3 linked regions of the Stegostoma tigrinum genome follow. The main gene of each other region encodes a partner of the protein of the gene in region 2 in a complex. Links are inferred from orthologs where the notes say so. Each region holds a gene or a part of one and is shown on either strand. Other genes may lie near its edges. The genes, in order: dhx16, bud13 and cwc27.

Region 1 (6,948 bases), on a different chromosome or scaffold from region 2:
CCCTGACTTGGAGCTACACCCTGTTACAGGGCCAATGGGCCGAGGAGTGGCAGATGGAGTTTAATTTTGATAAATGTGAGGTGCATTTTGCATAAGACCAACTAGGGCAGGACTTACAGTTAACGGCTGGGCTCTGGTGAGTGCTGTAGAACAGAGAGAGACTTCGGGGATGCAGGTACATAGTTCCTTGAAAGTTGGCTCACGGGTAGACAGGGTGGTGAAGGTGGTAATTGGCACGCTTGCCTTCATCAGTCAGAGCAGTGACTGCAGGAACGGGCAGGTCATGTTGTGGCTGTAAGAGATATTGGCAAGGCCACTGCATGCAATTCTAGTCACCCTGCTGTAGGATGGGTGCTATTAAACTTGAAATAGTGCAGAAAACCGGAAGGTTTGAGTTATAAAGAGAGGCTGGATAGGTTGGGGCTATTTTCCCTGGAGCGTGGAGGCTGATTGGTGACCTTACAGAAGTTGTTAAAATCATAAGGGCCACAGATAGGGTGAATAGGCAAGGTCTTTTTCCCAGGGTAGGGGTGCGCAAAACTAGAGGGCATACGTTTAAGGTGAGAGGGGAAAGATTTAAAAGAGACCCAAGGTGCATTCTCTTTTATCCAGAGGATGGTGTGTGTACAGAATGAACCGCCACAGGATGTGGTAGAAGTCAGTACATTTACAATTTAAAGGACATTTGGGCAGTACATGGATCAGAAGGGTTTACAGGGATATGAGCCAAATGCAGGAAAATGGGACTGGCTTAGTTTGGTTTGGGAAACCTGGTCAGAATGGATGAGTTGGGCCTATTTGCATGATGTATGACTCTATGACTCTTGGTTAAGAACCCTGGAACTCTGTCCATGACAGCACGGTGGCTGTTCCTATGTCATACGGATTGCAGTGGTTCAAGGATGTGGCCTAGCATAAGCTTCAGGAAATTAGGGATGGGTAGCAAGTGCTGATCTAAGCCTTGGGTGACATCCACGTTCCATAAATTAATGCTGAAAATTTCAGCTCAGCAATGAATTGATAAAACAGAACACATGATCCTGCAAAAGGCACTGTTCACCAAACACTGACCGAGGGAGGGGGTGCAGCCTAGGAGCACAGCAAGGTGCGAAGGATGACAAGCCTAACCGGGGGGGGCCCAGCGGCCTGCAACTCCCATCACCCTGCACATGCCACAACCTAGTCTTGAACTCCAACCAGCCTGTCCAGTCACAGTATCTGCTACTCGCCAGCACCATCCTCCCACCGTGCCCCACACAGCACCCACCTTCGCCCAGAGCTCATCTGCAAAGCGTCGGACTCCCTGTGTGATGTCAATGGTTCCCGTCTCCTCCAGGCGCCGGATGAAGTTTGCCACGCTCTCGCTGCGCTGGGCAGTGCCAATCAGGAACTGTGCCACATACTTATCACTCAGCCCCAGCAGCTGGTGAAGCTGGTCATTCACCCACTTCTCCAGCGAGGTCATGGTGGTATCTCTGCAAACAGCGAGCGGTACGCTTTTTCAAAAATAACACAAAAATCCCGTCAGGAATTGGGGAGGGCCAAATCAGTGGGCAAACGGATAGGGCGAGTACAGTTGGAGCAGACCCTGGGGTTTGAGTGATGTCTCTGGGCTACTTTGGACGCGGGGTTAACAGAAATCTGCCTAATGTAGACCAGGAGTAATTGGGGAGCCCTATTAATGGCAGTTTGGATGACTGGGGAGCCCAGTTAATGGGGAACCTTGGGTAGATGAGAAGCTCGTTAATGGAGATGAGGGGTTAATGGAGATGAGGGGTCAATGGAGACCCGGGTAAAGTGTGAACCTGGTTAATCGGGACTCGGGGTAAAAGGGCGACAATGTTAATGGGGACCAGGGGTGAAGGGGGCTGTGTCATGGGGACCGGGGGGGACCGGGGGGGGGGGGGGGGGGGGGGGGGCGGGACCGGGGGGGGGGGGCGGGACCGGGGGGGGGGCGGGACCGGGGGGCGCACCGGGGAACCCGGGGGGGGGGAGGACACCGGGGGACCCGGGGGGACACACCGGGGGACGGGGGGGGGGACGACGGGGGACGGGGGACGACGGGGGACGGGGGGGGGGACACCGGGGGAGGGGGACGGGGGGGGGGGGGGGAGGGGGACGGGGGGACGGGGGACGGGACGGGGGGGGGGGGGGGACGGGGGGGGGGGGGGGGGACGGGGGGGGGGGACGGGGGACGGGGGGGACGGGGGGGACGGGGGACGGGGGGGGGGACACCGGGGGACGGGGGGGGGGGGGGACACCGGGGGACGGGGGGGGGGGGGGGGACACCGGGGGACGGGGGGGGGGGGGGGGACACCGGGGGACGGGGGGGGGGGGGGACACCGGGGGACGGGGGGGGGGGGGGGGACACCGGGGGACGGGGGGGGGGGGGGACGGGGGACGGGGACACCGGGGGACGGGGGGGGGACACCGGGGGACGGGGGGGGGGCACCGGGGGGGGGGGGGACACCGGGGGGGGGGGGGGGACACGGGGGGGGGGGGGGGGGGCACCGGGGGGGGGGGGGGACACCGGGGGGGGGGGGGGGACACGGGGGGGGGGGGGGGGACACCGGGGGGGGGGGGGGGGACACCGGGGGGACGGGGGGACACCGGGGGGGGGGGGACACCGGGGGGGGGGGGGAGACACCGGGGGACCGGGGGGGGGGGGCACCGGGGGACCGGGGGGGGGGGCACCGGGGACCGGGGGGGGGGGGACACCGGGGGACCGGGGGGGGGTGGGGGGGGGGACCGGGTGGGGGGGGACCACCGGGGGGGGGGGACACCGGGGGGGGGGGGACACCGGGGGGGCCTGTTTCATGGGGACCGGGGGGGGGGGGGGGGCTTGTTTCATGGGGACCTTCGATAATGGAGACCCAAAACTAACGAGGTTCAGAGTAAATTTGCTTGTTTCAGTTTGCGACCAGATGCACAATCCCAAGCCGCACTCACCTTCTCAGAACAACAGGCTCCACCCGGACCAACCAGGCCCTTGCCCCGACGGCCCAACCAGGACCTGATCCTGACAACAGCCCGCACACACCCCTCAGTCTCCTGCTCCCGGCCACTGCGAGCGCGGTGAGGCAGAGCGTCACAAACTCCAGTCACAGCGCCGCCTCTGTCCGGGAGGGGACTCGGGGGAGACTCCGGTCACAGCGCCGCCTCTGTCCGGGAGGGTACTCGGGGGAGACTCCGGTCGCAGCGCCGCCTCTGTCCGGGAGGGGACACTCCGGTCACAGCGCCGCCTCTGACCGGGATGGGACTCGGGGGAGACACGCGTCACAGCGCTGCTTCTGTCCGGGAGGGGACTCGGGAGAGACTCCAGCTATAGCGCCGCCTCTGTCCGGGAGGGGACTCGGGGGAGACTCCGGTCGCAGCGCCGCCTCTGTCCGGGAGGGGACTCGGGGGAGACTCCGGTCGCAGCGCCGCCTCTGTCCGGGAGGGGACTCGGTGGAGACTCCGGTCACAGCGCTGCCTCTGTCCGGGAGGGGACTCGGGGGAGACGTCCGTCACAGCGCCGCCTCTGTCCGGGAGGGGAAAGCCATGGGAGACTCCACTCACAGCGCCGCCTACGTATAGAAATATACACAACGGGTCGGAAATGACCATCTCCAACAAGATGGAATCCTCATATCGCTTAATGTGGGGCTGGATGAACACAGCGGGCCCAGCAGCATCTCAGGAGCACAAAAGCTGACGTTTCGGGCCTAGACCCTTCATCAGAGAGGGGGATGGGGAGAGGGAACTAGAATAAATAGGGAGAGAGGGGGAGGCGGACCGAAGATGGAGAGTAAAGAAGATAGGTGGAGAGAGTATAGGTGGGGAGGTGGGGAGGGGATAGGTCAGTCCAGGGAAGACGGACAGGTCAAGGAGGTGGGATGAGGTTAGTAGGTAGCTGGGGGTGTGGCTTGGGGTGGGAGGAAGGGATGGGTGAGAGGAAGAACCGGTTAGGGAGGCAGAGACAGGTTGGACTGGTTTTGGGATGCAGTGGGTGGGGGGGAAGAGCTGGGCTGGTTGTGTGGTGCAGTGGGGGGAGGGGACGAACTGGGCTGGTTTAGGGATGCAGTAGGGGAAGGGGAGATTTTGAAACTGGTGAAGTCCACATTGACACCATTGGGCTGCAGGGTTCCCAAGCGGAATATGAGTTGCTGTTCCTGTAACCTTCGGGTGGCATCATTGTGGCAGTGCAGGAGGCCCATGATGGACATGTCATCTAAAGAATGGGAGGGGGAGTGGAAATGGTTTACGACTGGGAGGTGCAGTTGTTTATTGCGAACTGTGCGGAGGTGTTCTGCAAAGCGGTCCCCAAGCCTCCGCTTGGTTTCCCCAATGTAGAGGAAGCTACACTGGGTACAGTGGATGCAGTATACCACATTGGCAGATGTGCAGGTGAACCTCTGCTTAATATGGAAAGTCATCTTGGGGCCTGGGATGGGGGTGAGGGAGGAGGTTTGGGAGCAAGTGTAGCATTTCCTGCGGTTGTAGGGCAAGGTGCCGGGTGTGGTGGGGTTGGAGGGGAGTGTGGAGCGGACAAGGGAGTCGCGGAGACAGTGGTCTCTCTGGAAAGCAGACAAGGCTGGGGATGAAAAAATGTCTTGGGTGCTGGGGTCGGATTGGGGAAACCAAGTGGAGGCTTGGGGACTGCTTTGCAGAACACCTCCGCTCGGTTCGCAATAAACAACTGCACCTCCCAGTCGCAAACCATTTCCACTCCCCCTCCCATTCCTCAGACGACATGTCCATCCTGGGCCTCCTGCAGTGCCACAATGATGCCACCCGAAGGTTGCAGGAACAGCAACTCATATTCGGCTCGGGAACCCTGCAGCCCAATGGTATCAATGTGGAATTCACAAGCTTCAAAATCTCCCTTTCCCCCACTGCATCCCAAAACCACCCCAGCTCATCCCCGCCTCCCTAACCTCTGTCCTTCCTCTCACCTATCTCCTCCTCCCACCTCAAGCTGCACCTCCATTTCCCACCTACCAACCTCATCCCACCTCCTTGACCTGTCCGTCTTCCCTGGACTGACCTATCCCCTCCCTACCTCCCCACCTACATTCTCCTCTCCACCTATCTTCTTTTCTCTCCATCTTCGGTCCGCCTCCCCCTCTCTCCCTATTTATTCCAGAACCCTCTCCTCATCCCCCTCTCTGATGAAGGGCCTAGGCCCGAAACGTCAGCTTTTGTGCTCCTGAGGTGCTGTGTTCATCCAACTTCACACTTTGTTATCTTGGATTGTCCCAGCATCTGCAGTTCCCCATTATCTCAGAATGAATCCTCATATCGCTTTGACATTTCAATAGCATCACCATCATTGATTCACTGTTAACATCCTAGGGGTTACCACTGAGCAGGAACTGTATTATTGGACTAGCAGGGTAAATAGTGTGTGTCCAAAAGCAGATCGGAGGCTTGGAATATTTGCAACTTCACAAATATCTTGGATGAAATAATTCACATGTGTATCCGTGTCTGTGTATGTGCAAGAGCGTGTGTGTGTGTGAGAGAAAAGGAGCCTGTGTGTGTGTGTGAGAGAGAAAAGGAGTCTGTGTGTGTGTGTGAGAGAGAAAAGGAGTCTGTGTGTGTGAGAGAGAAAAGGAGTGTGTGTGTGTGTGAGAGAAAAGGAGTGTGTGTGTGTGAGAGAGAAAAGGAGTCTGTGTGTGAGAGAGAAAAGGAGTCTGTGAGTGAGAGAGAAAATGAGTGTGTGTGTGAGAGAGAAAAGGAGTCTGTGTGTGTGTATGAGAGAAAAGGAGTCTGTGTGTGTGTGAGAGAGAAAAGGAGCCTGTGTGTGTGTGAGAGAGAAAAGGAGTCTGTGTGTGTGAGAGAGAAAAAGAGTGCGTGTGTGTGAGAGAGAAAAGGAGTGTGTGTGTGTGAGAGAGAAAAGGAGTCTGTGTGTGTGAGAGAGAGAAAAGGAGTGTGTGTGTGTGTGAGAGAGAAAAGGAGTCTGTGTGTGAGAGAAATGGAGTCTGTATGTGTGTGAGAGAGAAAAGGAGTGTGTGTGTGTGAGAGAGAAAAGGAGTCTGTGTGTGTGAGAGAAAAGGAGTCTGTGTGTGTGTGAGAGAGAAAAGGAGTCTGTGTGTGTGTGAGAGAGAAAAGGAGTCTGTGTGTGTGAGAGAGAAAAGGAGTGTGTGTGTGTGAGAGAAAAGGAGTCTGTGTGTGAGAGAGAAAAGGAGTCTGTGAGTGAGAGAGAAAAGGAGTGTGTGTGTGTGAGAGAGAAAAGGAGTCTGTGTGTGTGTGAGAGAAAAGGAGTCTGTGAGTGAGAGAGAAAAGGAGTGTGTGTGTATGAGAGAAAAGGAGTCTGTGTGTGTGTGTGAGAGAGAAAAGGAGTGTGTGTGTGTGTGAGAGAGAGAAAAGGAGTCTGTGTATGTGTGTGAGAGAAAAGGAGTCTGTGTCTGTCTGTGAGAGAGAAAAGGAGTCTGTGTGTGTGTGAGAGAGAAAAGGAGTGTGTGTGTGTGTGAGAGAGAAAAGGAGTCTGTGTGTGTGTGAGAGAGAAAAGGAGTCTGTGTGTGTGAGAGAGAAAAGGAGTGTGTGTGTGTGTGTGAGAGAGAAAAGCAGTCTGTGTGTGTGAGAGAGAAAAGGAGTCTGTGAGTGAGAGAGAAAAGGAGTGTGTGTGTGAGAGAGAAAAGGAGTCTGTGTGTGTGAGAGAGAAAAAGAGTGTGTGTGTGTGAGAGAGAAAAGGAGTCTGTGTGTGTGTGAGAGAGAAAAGGAGTCTGTGTGTGTGAGAGAGGAAAGCAGTGTGTGTGTGTGAGAGAGAAAAGGAGCCTGTGTGTGTGAGAGAGAAAAGGAGTCTGTGAGTGAGAGAGAAAAGGAGTGTGTGTGTGAGAGAGAAAAGGAGTCTGTGTGTGTGAGAGAGAAAAAGAGTGTGTGTGTGTGAGAGAGAAAAGGAGTCTGTGAGTGAGAGAGAAAAGGAGTGTGTGTGTGTGAGAGAGAGAGAAAAGGAGTGTGTGTGTG
Region 2 (7,870 bases):
AGACTGCAGCTCACTTCAGTGTCCTTATTGGGTTCCCGTTCCTAAGCACTATTCAGCAACCAGTGCTGTATTAAACCTGAACTGCCTTTTAAAGTAGCCCAGTGAGACAGTAAATATGTCAAGCCACTTCAGCAATTCAAAGGGGCAGCTCACTACCAGCTTGTCAGGGAAACTTCAGATGAACGACAATGCTAGCCCAGCCAATGATGCTTGCATCCAATTAATGTATTTATAACACAGCGGCCAACACAAATTCACTGCACAGAATGAAATGAGTCTTTTTAAAAAAGACGCCTCACGACTTACCTCCTAAAATTTTCCACTTATTGCTCAGGCGGAATTCCTCCATTTGTTGAATGATTTCAGGCCTTTCATCAATGAACTCTGCCACCTAAAGCAACAGGCTGGAGATCAACACAAAAGTATAATACAACAACAATCTGCATTTACATAGCCTTGTCATAGAGTAAAACAGCCCTAAATCATTCTCAGGAATGGTGATCAAATAAACCCTGACACAAGACATTAGGTCAATTGACCAAAAGCCTCATCATAAAAATTAGGTACGAAGTTTGGACCCAAGCAGTTTAAAGTACAGCATGATGTAGTGAATATAAACAATGATCATTTTAAATATTCACTGTCATGATTAGATTAGATTCCCTACAGTCTGGAAACAGGCCCTTTGGCCCAACAAGTCCACACAGCCCCTTGCAGCATCCCACCCAGACCCATCCCCCTATAACCCACACACCCCTGAACATTACGGGCAATTTAGCATGGCCAATCCACCTAACCTGAAAATCTTTGGACTGTGGGAGAAAACCGGAGCACCCAGAGGAAACCCACACAGACACGGGGAGAATGCGCAAACTCCATACAGACAGTCGCTCGAGGCTGGAATCGAACCCGGGTCCCTGGCGCTGTGAGGCTGCAATGCTTACACTGAGCCACCGTGCCGCCCCTCATCTATCACATTGAACTGTATATGGGCAAGTTCAGAGACTAAGGCTCCCTCTTCACTGTACCTACCAAAAAACCCCAGGATAGGTACGGAATGGAATTAGAAACAGAGTGATGCTCCCGCTACATTGTCCCTAATGAACACACTCTGGACAAAGCATTCAAACTCAGCCATAAGGTCAGTCATTTCCAAATACACAGCAAGACACTTTCCACAGCAGTCTCTCACAGAATCTTAGAGTACAGGTAGGAGGATTTATCTCCTTTTACCCGTATTGGGTGTATTAAAAACTTAGCTAATTTGTCCCACATCCTTGTTCTTTCCCTCATCATCCTGTAAAACCTTCCACTTTGAGTATTTATGAAATTCCCAATGAAAAGTTACTTTTAAATCTGTTTCCACCACCCAGTTGAAACTAGAACAACTTTCTGCACTAAAAGAAATTCTCCCATCACTTCTGACTCTTCTGCTCTCATGTGGAACTTATCGATTTGTTTATAAGCGAATGTTCAACAAGCATTAGGAAGACTGGGATTAGCTTTAGAGACTGGTCAGATGGGCTGGAAACCTTCTCTAGCTCTGAATTTTCTCCTTTCCAAATCACTTAACAACCTTCTTGTGGGGTTTTGGCAGTTCAATTAAAATGTCTTGTTGATACTGGGGTATCTTCAGCAGCAGTAACAGTAGTCACAGTGTTGAAGTCTTAATTAGTTATTTGCTGACAAATCTTAGAATCAGTCAGTCCTGAGAATAGCTATTTCACCTACCACAGGGGCTTCATCATCCTCATCCTCTGCTGCCTCTAATACAGCCTCTTTCTCCTTCTCCTTCGCAAGGGTCTTCCAGGTCACATCATCATCCACAATCCGCATTCTGTAATATAACAGGACAGAGGCTTTCAACTGACAGAACTAGACTCAACAGCATCCCTGATCTAAAACAGATACAGAGTAAAGTAACACTTCACATGATAAAAAGGGAAAGCTGACAACACCACAGATTACAAAAATGAGAGGGCATTGGAGAACTGCATCGTGGATAAGAAATTTCAATTGCACGAAGAGGCTGAGGACACTGGGGTCCTCCACTCTAAGAGTAAGGATGGTAAAGGGGTGTTTAGATAGAGCAGTAAATAACGAGAAAGCTTCTAGTGGCAAGAGATCCAGAAACCAGAGGAACACAAATTACACTAAGAGAGAAGGAACTGTATCAGAGGAGCAGGAAAGGTGATGTTTCAGGCCTAGGCCTCCCTCAGCCTCCCTGCCCCTCTGATGCTGCTTGGCTTGTTGTGTTCATCCAGCTCCACACCTTGTTAACACAAATTATAGCCATTACCACAGGTGAAACTTACTTTATAAAACAGATCGAGGTTAAACATTACAACATTGAGGAGAGAGGTGACGGGATAACTTCTTTAAAGATCCAGCACTGGGGCAATGGGCGAATGGCCTCTTTCTGTGAGGCATGTTATTAATAAACCTCAAGAAAAAGTGAACAATATTTAACTCTGTCACATAATGAACAACTGCCCATTAAAAGCAAGAAACCGTTCCCTTGTGAAAACTAACTTAAAACACGACAACGGAATTACTCCAAAGCTACAATGTAATTCTACAACGATGAGGCCACAGCAAAGTGTTGAATTATGAATTTCTCTAGCGCCTATCAGGAGCTCGGCTATAACGAGGTCCCGGGTGATCCGGTGATAATTTTACTGATAGTTTGGTGTTTGGTGCGAATGAGGTTCAGACCCGGCTCCTGCCGCCTGAGGCGTGCGGGAGGGCGGCCTCACCCGCAGGAAACCATCAGGCCTCAGGCCTTTCCACGTCGGGCTGGCCGCTTACGCTGCTCCCTGCGCGGGCCTCACCCTCCGCCTTTAATCTTCACCCTCCGCCTCCTCCTGGTCCGCTTGGGGCCCGGCTCCGAGCCGCTCAGGTACCGCTTCAGGTATTCCTCCTTACTCAGGCCGGCCATGGGATCCCCTCCCTCTCCCGGCGCTACCGGCCCGGCTCCTTCCTACCCGGACTCCGCTGGCGCTGCTTCCGCCGGCACCGAGCGGTCTTCACTCACCGGCCCCGCTCGACCGGCCCGGCCCCCGGCCCCCGGCCCCCGGCCCCCGGCGGGAAACCCGCCCGCCTCGCGCCGCCATCTTGGTGCCTCAAGCCGATGTCTCGCGGACAGGATGGTCACCCCCCCCCATCCCCCCCCACATCCAGCCCATCACCCCTCAAACCCCCACCCCCCCTCACATCCCCACCCCCCCTCACATCCCCACCCCTCACCCCCCATCCCCCCTCACATCCCCACCCCTCAAACCCCCACCCCCCCTCACATCCCCACCCCTCACCCCCCCATCCCCCCTCACAATCCCCACCCCTCACCCCTCACATCCCCACCCCTCACCCCTCACATCCCCACCCCTCACCCCCCCACCCCTCACCCCCCCATCCCCCCTCACCCCCTCACCCCCCCACCCCCCCTCACATCCCCACCCCCCCCTCACATCCCCACCCCTCACCCCCCCACCCCTCACCCCCCCATCCCCCCTCACATCCCCACCCCTCACCCCCCCATCCCCCCTCACATCCCACCCCTCACCCCTCACATCCCACCCCCACCCCTCCCACTCCCCCCCTCCCCTCACATCCCACCCCTCACCCCTCACATCCCCACCCCTCACCCTCACATCCCCACCCCTCACCCCCCCATCCCCCCTCACATCCCCACCCCTCACCCCTGCACATCCCACCCTCACCCCCCCATCCCCCCTCACATCCCACCCCTCACCCTCACATCCCACCCTCACATCCCCACCCCTCGACCCCCCATCCCCCCTCACATCCCCACCCCCCCTCACATCCCCATCCCCCCTCACCCCCCCATCCCCCCTCACCCCCCATCCCCCCTCACCCCCCATCCCCCCTCACATCCCCATCCCCCTCACATCCCCATCCCCCTCACATCCCCACCCCCCCCTCACATCCCACCCCCCCTCACATCCCCACCCCCCCTCACATCCCCACCCCTCACCCCCCATTCCCCCCTCACATCCCCACCCCTCACCCCTCACATCCCCACCCCTCACCCCTCACATCCCCACCCCTCACCCCCCATCCCCCCATCCCCCCTCACATCCCCACCCCCCTCACATCCCCACCCCCCCATCCCCCCTCACATCCCCACCCCCCCTCACATCCCCACCCCTCACCCCCCCATCCCCCCTCACCCCCCCATCCCCCCTCACCCCCCCATCCCCCCTCACATCCCCACCCCCCTCACATCCCCACCCCTCACCCCCCCATCCCCCTCAATCCCCACCCCTCACCCCCCCATCCCCCCTCACATCCCCACCCCCCCTCACATCCCCACCCCTCACCCCCCCAATCCCCCCTCACATCCCCACCCCTCACCCCTCACATCCCCACCCCTCACCCCCACATCCCCACCCCTCACCCCCCCATCCCCCCTCACATCCCCACCCCTCACATCCCCACCCCTCACATCCCCACCCCTCAGCCCCCATCCCCCCTCACATCCCCACCCCTCACCCCCCCATCCCCCCTCCCCCTCACATCCCACCCCCCCTCACATCCCCACCCCCCCTCACATCCCCACCCCTCACCCCCCCATCCCCCCTCACCCCCCCATCCCCACCCCTCACCCCCCCATCCCCCCTCACCCCCCCATCCCCACCCCTCACCCCCCCATCCCCCCTCACCCCCCCATCCCCACCCCTCACCCCCCCATCCCCCCTCACCCCCCCTCACATCCCCACCCCTGACCCCCCCATCCCCACCCCTGACCCCCCCATCCCCCCCCTCACCCCCCCATCCCCACCCCTCACCCCCCCATCCCCCCCCCTCACCCCCCCTCACATCCCCACCCCTCACCCCTCACATCCCCACCCCTCACCCCTCACATCCCCACCCCTCACCCCCCCATCCCCCCTCACATCCCCACTCACATCCCCACACCTCACCCCCCCACCCCCCCTCACATCCCCACCCCTCACCCCCCCACCCCCCCTCACATCCCCACCCCTCACCCCCCCATCCCCCCTCACATCCCCACCCCCCCTCACATCCCCACCCCCCCTCACATCCCCACCCCTCACATCCCCACCCCCCCTCACATCCCCACCCCTCACCCCCCCATCCCCCCTCACATCCCCACACCTCACCCCCCCATCCCCCCTCACATCCCCACCCCCCCTCACATCCCCACCCCTCACCCCCCCATCCCCCCTCACTTCCCCACCCCTCACCCCTCACATCCCCACCCCTCACCCCTCACATCCCCACCCCTCACCCCTCACCCCTCACCCCTCACCCCTCACATCCCCCCTCACATCCCCACCCCTCACCCCTCACATCCCCACCCCTCACCCCTCACATCCCCACCCCTCACCCCCCACATCCCCACCCCTCACCCCCCCACCCCTCACCCCCCCACCCCCCCTCACATCCCCACCCCCCCTCACATCCCCACCCCCCTCATCCCCACCCCTCACCCCCCACATCCCCACCCCTCACCCCCCCCATCCCCACCCCTCACCCCCCCCATCCCCACCCCTCACCCCCCCCATCCCCACCCCTCACCCCCCCATCCCCCCTCACATCCCCACCCCCCCTCACATCCCCACCCCCCTCACATCCCCACCCCCCCTCACATCCCCACCCCCCTCACATCCCCACCCCTCTCACATCCCCACCCCTCACCCCCCCATCCCCCCTCACATCCCCCCTCACATCCCCACCCCTCACCCCCCCATCCCCCCTCACATCCCCACCCCCCATCACATCCCCACCCCTCACCCCCCCATCCCCCCTCACATCCCCACCCCTCACCCCCCCACCCCCCCTCACATCCCCACCCCTCACCCCCCCACCCCCCCACCCCCCCTCACATCCCCACCCCCCCTCACATCCCCACCCCCCCTCGCATCCCCACCCCCCCTCGCATCCCCACCCCCCCTCGCATCCCCACCCCTCACCCCCCCCATCCCCCCTCACATCCCCACCCCTCACCCCTCACATCCCCACCCCTCACCCCTCACATCCCCACCCCTCACCCCCCCATCCCCCCTCACATCCCCACCCCCCCCTCACATCCCCATCCCCACCCCTCACCTCCCCATCCCCACCCCTCACCCCCCCACACATCCCCACCCCTCACCCCCCCATCCCCCCTCACCCCCCATCCCCCCTCACCCCCCCATCCCCCCATCCCCCCTCACCCCCCCATCCCCCCATCCCCCCTCACCCCCCCATCCCCCCTCACATCCCCACCCCCCCTCACCTCCCCATCCCCCCTCACATCCCCACCCCCCCTCACCCCCCCATCCCCCCATCCCCCCTCACATCCCCACCCCCCCTCACCCCCCCACCCCCCCTCACCCCCCCATCCCCCCATCCCCCCTCACATCCCCATCCCCCCTCACATCCCCACCCCCCCTCACATCCCCACCCCTCACCCCCCCATCCCCCCTCACATCCCCACCCCTCACCCCCTCATCCCCCCTCACATCCCCACCCCCCCTCACCCCCCCATCCCCCCTCACATCCCCACCCCCCCTCACCCCCCCATCCCCCCTCACATCCCCACCCCCCCTCACCCCCCCATCCCCCCATCCCCCCTCACATCCCCATCCCCCCTCACATCCCCACCCCCCCTCACATCCCCACCCCTCACCCCCCCTCACATCCCCACCCCTCACCCCCCCTCACATCCCCACCCCTCACCCCCCCATCCCTCACCCCCCCATCCCCCCTCACATCCCCATCCCCCCTCACATCCCCATCCCCCCTCACATCCCCATCCCTCACCCCTCACCCCTCACATCCCCACCCCTCACCCCCCCATCCCCCCCTCACATCCCCACCCCCCCTCACATCCCCACCCCTCACCCCCCCATCCCCCCTCACATCCCCACCCCCCCTCACATCCCCACCCCCCCTCACATCCCCACCCCTCACCCCCCCATCCCCCCTCACATCCCCCCTCACATCCCCACCCCTCACCCCTCACATCCCCACCCCTCACCCCCCCACCCCTCACCCCTCACCCCCCCACCCCTCACCCCTCACCCCTCACCCCCCCACCCCTCACCCCTCACCCCCCCACCCCTCACCCCTCACCCCTCACATCCCCACCCCTCACCCCTCACATCCCCACCCCTCACCCCTCACCCCTCACATCCCCACCCCTCACCCCTCACATCCCCACCCCTCACCCCTCACATCCCCACCCCTCACATCCCCACCCCTCACCCCTCACATCCCCACCCCTCACATCCCCACCCCTCACCCCTCACATCCCCACCCCTCACCCCTCACATCCCCACCCCTCACCCCCCCATCCCCCCTCACATCCCCACCCCCCCTCACATCCCCACCCCCCCTCACATCCCCACCCCTCACCCCCCATCCCCCCTCACCCCCCCTCCCCCCTCACCCCCCCTCACCCCCCCTCACATCCCCATCCCCCCCCTCACATCCCCATCCCCCCCCCTCACATCCCCACCCCTCACATCCCCACCCCTCACCCCTCACCCCTCACATCCCCACCCCTCACATCCCCACCCCTCACCCCTCACATCCCCACCCCTCACCCCTCACATCCCCACCCCTCACCCCCCCATCCCCACCCCTCACCCCCCCATCCCCCCTCACATCCCCATCCCCCCTCACATCCCCATCCCCCCTCACATCCCCACCCCTCACCCCTCACATCCCCACCCCTCACCCCCCCATCCCCCCTCACATCCCCACCCCCACCACCCCCATCCAGCCCATCACCCTGACCCCCACCCACACCCCTCAACCCCCCCTCTCCCCCACCCCTCAACCCCCCCAACCCTCCTCAACCCTCCTCTCCACCACCCCTCAACCCCCCCCCTCCACCACC
Region 3 (7,653 bases), on a different chromosome or scaffold from region 2:
ACTCAACTGTACTCACCACATAAAGAAGAACAGGTCAGAGGCTAGGAATATGACAGCAAGTAACTTCCTTCTCCGTCATCTACATAGCACAAGTCAGGAGAGTAATGAAATATTCCCTACTTGCCTGGATGCATACAGCTCCAAAAGCACTCAGAAACTTGACACCATCCAGGACAAAGCAGCCCATTTGATTGGCACTACATCCACATGCATCCCACTGCCTCCACGTCCAACACTCAGTGGCAGTGTGCACCACCTGCAAGATGCAGTGTTGAAATTCATCAAAAAAATCCTCAGACAGCAGCGTTCAAACCCATGTGCACTTCCATCTGAAAGGCAAGGGCAGCAGATACATAGTAAAACAACCACCTTCAAAGTCCCCTGTAAGGCACTCACAATTCTGAATTTTAAATATATTGCCATTCCTTCACTGTGTCAAAATCCTGGAATTCTCTCCCTAATGGTATTGTGGGTCCACCCATAACAAGTGGACTGCAGCAGTTTAAGGCAGCAGCTCAGCACCACCTTCTCAAGGGCTACTAGGAACAGGCAATAAATGTCAGGTAGGCAGTGGATGCCTGCATCCCTCAAATGAATTTTAAAAAAAAGCTAAGCAAAGTTTTTAAATCATGTTAGATTTCTGATATGACAATAAGGCAAGGTTCTCTCTCTCTGTGACCAGACCTTCAGTTCCACAAGAAATCTTTGCACATTAGAGAGGGTTCAGTTCATTTCAAAGCACGCAACGGCTGTTAAAGACACTATACCTTGTTTTACTTTTCTTTCATGGGACATGAATATCATAAGACCATAAGACATAGGAGTGGAAGTAAGGCCATTCGGCCCATCAGGTCCACTCCGCCATTTAAATCATGGCTGATGGGCATTTCAACTCCACTTCCTGCACTCCCCCCGTAGCCCTTGATTCCTTTTGAGATCAAGAATTTGTCGATCTCTGCCTTGAAGGCATCCAACGTCCCGGCTTCCACTGCACTCTGTGGCAATGAATTCCACAAGCCCACCACTCTCTGGCTGAAGAAATGTTGTCTCATTTCAGTTTTAAATTTACCCCCTCTAATTTTAAGGCTGTGCCCACGGGTCCTAGTCTCCCTGCCTAATGGAAACAACTTCCTAGCGTCCACCCCTTCTAAACCATACATTATCTTGTAAGTTTCTATTAGGTCTCCCCTCAACCTTCTAAACTCCAATGAGTACAATCCCAGGATCCTTAGCCGTTCATCATATGTTAAACCTACCATTCCTGGGATCATCCGTGTGAATCTCCGCTGGACACGCTCCAGGGCTAGTATGTCCTTCCTGAGGTGTACTGGCCAGGCCAGTATTTATTACTCATTTCTAATTGCCCAGAGAGCTGTTGAGAATCAACCATAATAGCACAGATCTGAAGTCACTTGTTGGCCAGACTGGGAAAGGATGGCAAATTTCTTTCCCCTAAGAACTTCAGTGAACCAGATGGGTTTTTTCCCAACAATCCGAACAATGATTTCATAGTCATCATTAGATTATTAATCCCAAACTTTTACTGAATTTAAATTCCACCATCTGCTATCATGGGATTTGAGCCTGGATCTCTGGGTGAATAGTCCAGTGATAATACCACTAGGCCATCATCTCCCCTTAAAGTCAAGATGTCTCACAAATAAAGGTAGGCCTGTGAAAATCAGTTAGAATGGAGATTATCTCAGTTGTTAACACAGCGTCGTCATATGCTCTGAACTAACTCTTTATGATTACCATCCCACTCTTTCAGTCACCTCACCCCATTGTTATAATTCCACACCAGACATTAATAAACTGAGCAGTAAAATTACACTGGCATTTCAGTTGGTACTATACTGTGAGAGATATCAATTTTTGGATGAGACTTTAAACTGATACTCCTTCTAACAGATATGAAAAGTCCCACAGCACAATTTTTAAAAGAAAATCAGAGGGATTCTTGCTATCATCCTGATCATTACTTATCCCTCTAACAATATCACTAAAACAGTTAAGCTACTAAACTCACTTTTTCCTAGATGTTATCAATTCTGAAGAGGTGTCGCTGTCTTAAAACGTCAGCCCTGTTTCTCTCTTTACAGATGTTGCCAGGCTTTCGGAATTTCTCCAGCAATTTTTGTTTTTGTCAGTAGAACAGGTGATCTGGTTATTCATGATCACTTGAAACAGAAAAGCAGGCAACAATTCCTACTTTCCAACAGTGATGATACTCCAAAAGTACTTCATTGTTGAGCAAATGCTTTGGGACAAGGCGAAAGGCGCTATGTAAATGTAAGTCTTTCACAAGTGCTCAAGGAACAAAATGACACGTACAGGGGTAATTGATGTGAACGTTGTAAAACAACCACAAAAATCCAAAACAAAAATCAAGGCCAGAAGAAAATTTACTCGCTCACTTTCGGAAGGGGTGGATCTGTTTTGTTTAAACGAAAGGACATAAATTAGACGCGCGCGAATACCGGACTGTTTGAACATGGCGTTTGGAAGAAATTAGCCCCATCGATCAACGGGCTTGGTTACTGAATGAATGTACACGAATCTTCCCTCGAATGAAGACGCCAATGTATACAGGTTTGTGATAAACGTGTTATTTACCTTGCCGCTGCTCGGCGGCTCCTGGATGTAAATGTTGCTCATGGCGCCGCTTTGGAACGCGAGCCCAGTTTAAAACGCGGCGCTCGCTCGCGCTGTCTAACGTCCTCCGTTCACCGATCCCGAGAAGCCAGCCGGCCCCTCACTCACCGCACCAAAACTAAGAAAACCTAAACTCAAAAACCCTGCCTGCAGATAATCCACTTACGCAGCTCCACCGAGAGCCTTCCCCCGCCGCCAAGTCCCTGCGAAATGTCGTGTATTTTAGAATGTTCGCCTGTTATCCGCCGGGGGTTCGCGCAAAGTTCGCTCTGAAAGCAAACGGCCCATGTCATGGACGCGCAAGTACAGAAATTAACTGTAACGGAGAGTATGGATATGCTGCGTATGATTTTGAAAGTTGAAACCGAGCGTTTCTTTATGTTTTTATTTTGTTATTGAAGCTGGTGGGAAGATATTAAACGGTGCACCAGATCAGCAAGTGTGCTTGGGAACTTTCTAGAAGTAGAAACGAATGGAATTTCGCAATGGCTTTTTCAGGTGAATTATAATGATTTGATTTTTTTGCGTAGATATTGCTTTTAAATTACATTTTGGGAGTATAAAGCGGCGAACTATTTAAACTTTGGTGATAGGTCTGACTTCGGAATCGTGTTTGGAAGGTGCTGCATGTCACTGATCGCATAACAGGAAGTGAACGAGGGTCACTACACTCGAAACATTAACTCCCCCTTCTTTTCAAATGCTGCCGGATCTGTATTTCTTTCGCACTTCGTTTGTTTTTGCTTTAGACTTCTAGTATTCGCAGTTCTTTGCATATCTCAATGATATTCAGGTCAACTATCAAGAAATATATGGCGAGTCATCCAACTTCTTTTCCAAGACCAATTCCCCCTCCCTCCATGGATAAGATTTCCTTAACCATGTTTGCAGCGAAGCATCATAGCATCTCCAGTCAACCTTGAGAACCCCCAAAGGCAACTCCCTCCTGACTGTAAGATAACAAAGTGTGGAGCTGGATGAACACAGCAGGCCAAGCGGCATCTCAGGAGCACAAAAGCTGACGTTTCGGGCCTAGACCCTTCATCAGAGAGGGGGATGGGGAGAGGGAACTGGAACAAATAGGGAGAGAGGGGGAGGCGGACCGAAGATGGAGAAAAGAAGCTAGGTAGATTACAAGAGAGTTGCAGTGGGAGAGAGATTCCCTGAGGTTGATCCGGAGGGAGGAGGGTAACTTCTTCAGGTTAGGCATCCCTGGAAGAGGCTTTGCAGTGAGGTTAAAATTGTATGGTGGAGCTGTATGAACGCAGCAGGCCAAGCAGCATCTCCAGCGGATGCTGCTTGGCCTGCTGTGTTCATCCAGCTCCACACTTTGTTATCGTGGATTCTCCAGCATCTGCAGTTCCCATTATCCCTCCTCACTGTATACCGCTGCATCGCCACCTCTCATGGGTCTGTTGTTTTAGCGTGACGGCACACTGCTAGGGATAGTGATTGTGGTGATTGGGACTTTATTTGTCTTGTGTAATCATATCTTACAGACAGTGTCACTCTGGATTGGTTGATTTGGTCTGAAGGTCAGCACAAATTTTAAGATATTGGTTGTGTCATCAAGGCTGTGTGTGCCATGATAACAAGGTGTGGAGCTGGATGAACACTGCAGGCCAAGCAGCATCTTAGGAGCAGGACAGTTGTTTCTAGTGCCTTTGTTGATCCCAGGTGGGTCTGTCTGGTTCTATTCCTTTCATAGAACATAGAACAGTACTGCACAGTACAGGCCCTTTGGCCCACGATATTGTGCTGCCCTATTATCCTCCTGCGATCAATTTACCCTGCATACCTTACATTTCATTATCCTCCATGTGCCTATCCAAGAGTGGCTTAAAAGTCTCTAAAGTATTTGATTCCATTACCACTGCTGGAAACGCATTCTATACGCTCACCACTCTGTGTGAAGAACCTACCTCTGACATCTCCACTATACCTTCCTCCGGTCACCTTACAATTATGCCCCCTCATAATAGTCATTTCCACCCTGGGGGAAAAAAATCTGACTATCCTCTCTATCTATGCTTTTCATCATCTTGTACATCTCTATCAAGTCACTGCTCATCTTTCTTTGCTCCAGTGAAAAAAGCCCTAGCTCCCTCAACCTTTCCTCATAAGACCTGTCCTCCACCCCGGGCAGCATCCTGGTAAATCTCCTATGCACCCTTTCTAAATTTTCCACATCTTTCCTCTAATGAGGTGACCAGGTCTAACCAAAGTTTTGTAGAGCTGCAACATAACCACACAGCTCTTAAACTGAATTCCCCTGCCAATGAAAGCCAACACACCATATGCCTGCTTTACAACCCTATCAACTTAAGTCCATAAGATCATAAGACATAGGAGTGGAAGTAAGGCCATTCAGCCCATCAAGTCCACTCTGCCATTTAAATCATGGCTGATGGGCATTTCAACACCACTTCCCTGCACTCCCCCCGTAGCTCTTGATTCCTTTTGAGATCAAGAATTTGTCGATCTCTGCCTTGAAGGCATCCAACGTTCCGGCCTCCACTGCACTCTGCGGCAATGAACTTGTGTAGCAACTTTGAGGGATCTATGGACGTGAACCCTAAGATCCCTTTGTTCCTCCACGCTGCCGGGAACCCTGCCATCAATCTGTATTCTGCATTCAAATTCAATTTTCCAAAATAAATCACTTTTCACTTTTCTGGGTTGAGTTCCATCTGCCACTTCATTGCCCAGCTCTGCATCCTGTCACTGTCCCGTTGCAACCTACAATGGCCTTCCACCCTGTCCACAACTCCACCAACCTTTGTGTCATCGGCAAACTTACTAACCCTTCCTCCCGCTTCTTCACCCAAGTTGCTTATAAAGATCAGAAAGAACAGAGGTCCTAGAACAGATTCCTGCGGAACAACACTGGTCACCGAGCTCCAGGTTAAATACTCTCCATCAATACCACCCTCTGTCTTCTGTTGGAGAGCTAGTTTTGTATCCAGACAGCCAAATTTCCCTGAATCCCATGCCTCCTTACTTTCTGAATGAGCCGACCATATGGAACCTTATCAAATGTCTTGCTATAAAATCCATATGCACCACATCCACTGCTGTACCTTCATTGATGTCTTTTGTCACATTGTCAAAGAATTCAATAAGACTTGTGAGGCATGACCTGCCCCTCACAAAGCCATGCTGACCAATTCAAATCAAACTATGCTTTTCCAAATTACCATAAATATTATCTCTCAGAATCCTTTCCAATAATTTGCCCACCACAGAAGAAAGACTGACAGGTCTGTAATTTCCAGGATTATCCCTATTCCCTTTCTTGAACAAAGGAATGACAACCTCCAATCTTCTGGTACTATACAGTGGACAGTGAGGACGCAAAGATCATTGCCATTGGGGCAGCTATCTCCTCCCTCACTTTCTGTAGGAATCTTGGCTATATCCTGTCTGGCCTAGGGGACTTATCTGTCCTCATGTTTTTCACAATTTTTAGCATATCCTCCCTCCTAACATCAACCTGTTCAAGCATATCTGCCTGTTTCATGCTGTCCTCGCAAGCATGAAGTTCCCTCTCAGTGGTCAATACTGAAGTAAAGTATTTATTAAGGACCTCCCCGACCTCCTCTGACTCCGTGCACAAGTTCCCTCTGCTATCCCTGATTGGCCCTACCCTCACTCTAGCCATCTTGTTCCTCACGTAAGTATAGAAGCCTTGGGATTTTCCTTGATCCTACCCACTGACGATTTCTCATACCCCCTCCTAGCTGTCCTAAGTCCATTCTTCAGTTCCTTCCTGGCTACCTTGTAGACCTCTAAAGCCCTATCCGATCCTTGCTTCCTCAACTTTAAGTAAGCTTCCTTCTTCCTGTTTCATCAGACGTTGTAACAGTTAGATATTGAGCAGCTTGCTGGGACATTTCAGAGCGCATTGAGAGTTAGCATTGGTGTGGAAATGAAGTTGCATTTCGAATAAACAAGGTAAGAACTGCAGATTCCCTGTCGCTTAAGGGAGTCAGTAAACCAGATGGGTTTAATGAAAATTGGCAATGGTTCCATGGTCACCATTAAACCAGCTTTTAATTCCAGATTCATTAACTAAATTCAAATTTCATCATCTGATAGGCTTGAAGTCTATGTCCCTCAGATCTGGAACTATAAGAAATAGGAACAGGAACAGGCTGTTCAGTCCAGTGAGCCTTCTCTACCATTTAATGGGACTGTGGTTAATCCAACACTCCTAACACCCTGTCTTTTCCCTATAACCCTTGGTTTCCCCTACTGATCAAGAATCTGTTGTGGGAAAATCTGGCTACTTATTAAGAAATCTCACAGACAATCAAGTACTGAAAAAACAGTTCAAACTTTATTGTAAATATTAGACCCCTCGGGTAAGTAAGTTTTAGGCCTGTGACCCAATTAGTGGTGAAATCAGGCCAGGACATCAACCAATTGTGATCTGTCTCTGGAAGTTTCCAGGTTTCTGTCCTTCTGCGGTGTTGTTCTTCAGAGTTCTGCTGTTGAGTTTTTCACATTCGATTCTTGTACAGATTTTCATCCTTTATGTGGATAATGCTTTGAGAGTCTTTCAAGCGAGTTAGTGTAAGACTGCAGCTGGCTTCGTTATCAAAAGTAATTTCTTTGTTTCTTGTTACATTTGGCAATGACTGTCGGTTCAAAGACAGCTTTCTGGTGATTAACTCCTTAAATTCTTGAACAGGGCAAACCTTGTCCCTTATGCCAGTAAAGCATCCAATTATCAAGCAGGTGTCAAAGCAGCTTTGTTTATGGAATCTTGCTAATTCTTTGAGTCTGTGTTACAGCTTGTCTTTGTTCCTTATCAGTTTATTTCAAACAGAGTTATTTTTGTGTGTAATAGTTTATCTTTTCTTGATTCATTCAGTCGATGATCAATCATTAAGAGTTCTGTAATCTTTACTTAAATAGTCCCTCCTGTCTTTATTATTTTTAATATGAACAGGGACTGGTAATTGGCCATTTCCAACACAACATTGGTTCATAACG

Evidence for each region.
Region 1: bud13 (region 2) and dhx16 share a complex: the UniProt entries of both Homo sapiens proteins name them as parts of the minor spliceosome. The link is inferred for Stegostoma tigrinum from reciprocal best matches to the Homo sapiens genes BUD13 and DHX16.
Region 3: bud13 (region 2) and cwc27 share a complex: the UniProt entries of both Homo sapiens proteins name them as parts of the activated spliceosome. The link is inferred for Stegostoma tigrinum from reciprocal best matches to the Homo sapiens genes BUD13 and CWC27.

Annotation. Positions count from the first base shown.
Region 1 is NC_081387.1:14,335,981-14,342,928, forward strand, and holds the start of dhx16 (pre-mRNA-splicing factor ATP-dependent RNA helicase DHX16), read right to left. Parts: upstream 3,093-6,948; 5' UTR 2,950-3,092; intron 1,497-2,949; exon of another isoform or gene 1,476-1,496; 5' UTR 1,466-1,475; coding exon 1,268-1,465; intron 1-1,267. UniProt on the Homo sapiens protein: Required for pre-mRNA splicing as a component of the spliceosome. Contributes to pre-mRNA splicing after spliceosome formation and prior to the first transesterification reaction.
Region 2 is NC_081385.1:598,493-606,362, forward strand, and holds the start of bud13 (BUD13 homolog), read right to left. Parts: upstream 3,066-7,870; 5' UTR 2,939-3,065; coding exon 2,832-2,938; intron 2,773-2,831; exon of another isoform or gene 2,316-2,772; intron 1,839-2,315; exon of another isoform or gene 1,838-1,838; coding exon 1,732-1,837; intron 405-1,731; exon of another isoform or gene 392-404; coding exon 307-391; intron 1-306. UniProt on the Homo sapiens protein: Involved in pre-mRNA splicing as component of the activated spliceosome. As a component of the minor spliceosome, involved in the splicing of U12-type introns in pre-mRNAs.
Region 3 is NC_081354.1:118,668,557-118,676,209, forward strand, and holds the start of cwc27 (spliceosome-associated protein CWC27 homolog), read right to left. Parts: upstream 3,048-7,653; 5' UTR 2,659-3,047; coding exon 2,617-2,658; intron 2,593-2,616; coding exon of another isoform or gene 2,571-2,592; exon of another isoform or gene 2,353-2,570; intron 1-2,352. Other genes in the region: protein SREK1IP1, read left to right, coding at 2,571-2,592. UniProt on the Homo sapiens protein: As part of the spliceosome, plays a role in pre-mRNA splicing. Probable inactive PPIase with no peptidyl-prolyl cis-trans isomerase activity. As a component of the minor spliceosome, involved in the splicing of U12-type introns in pre-mRNAs.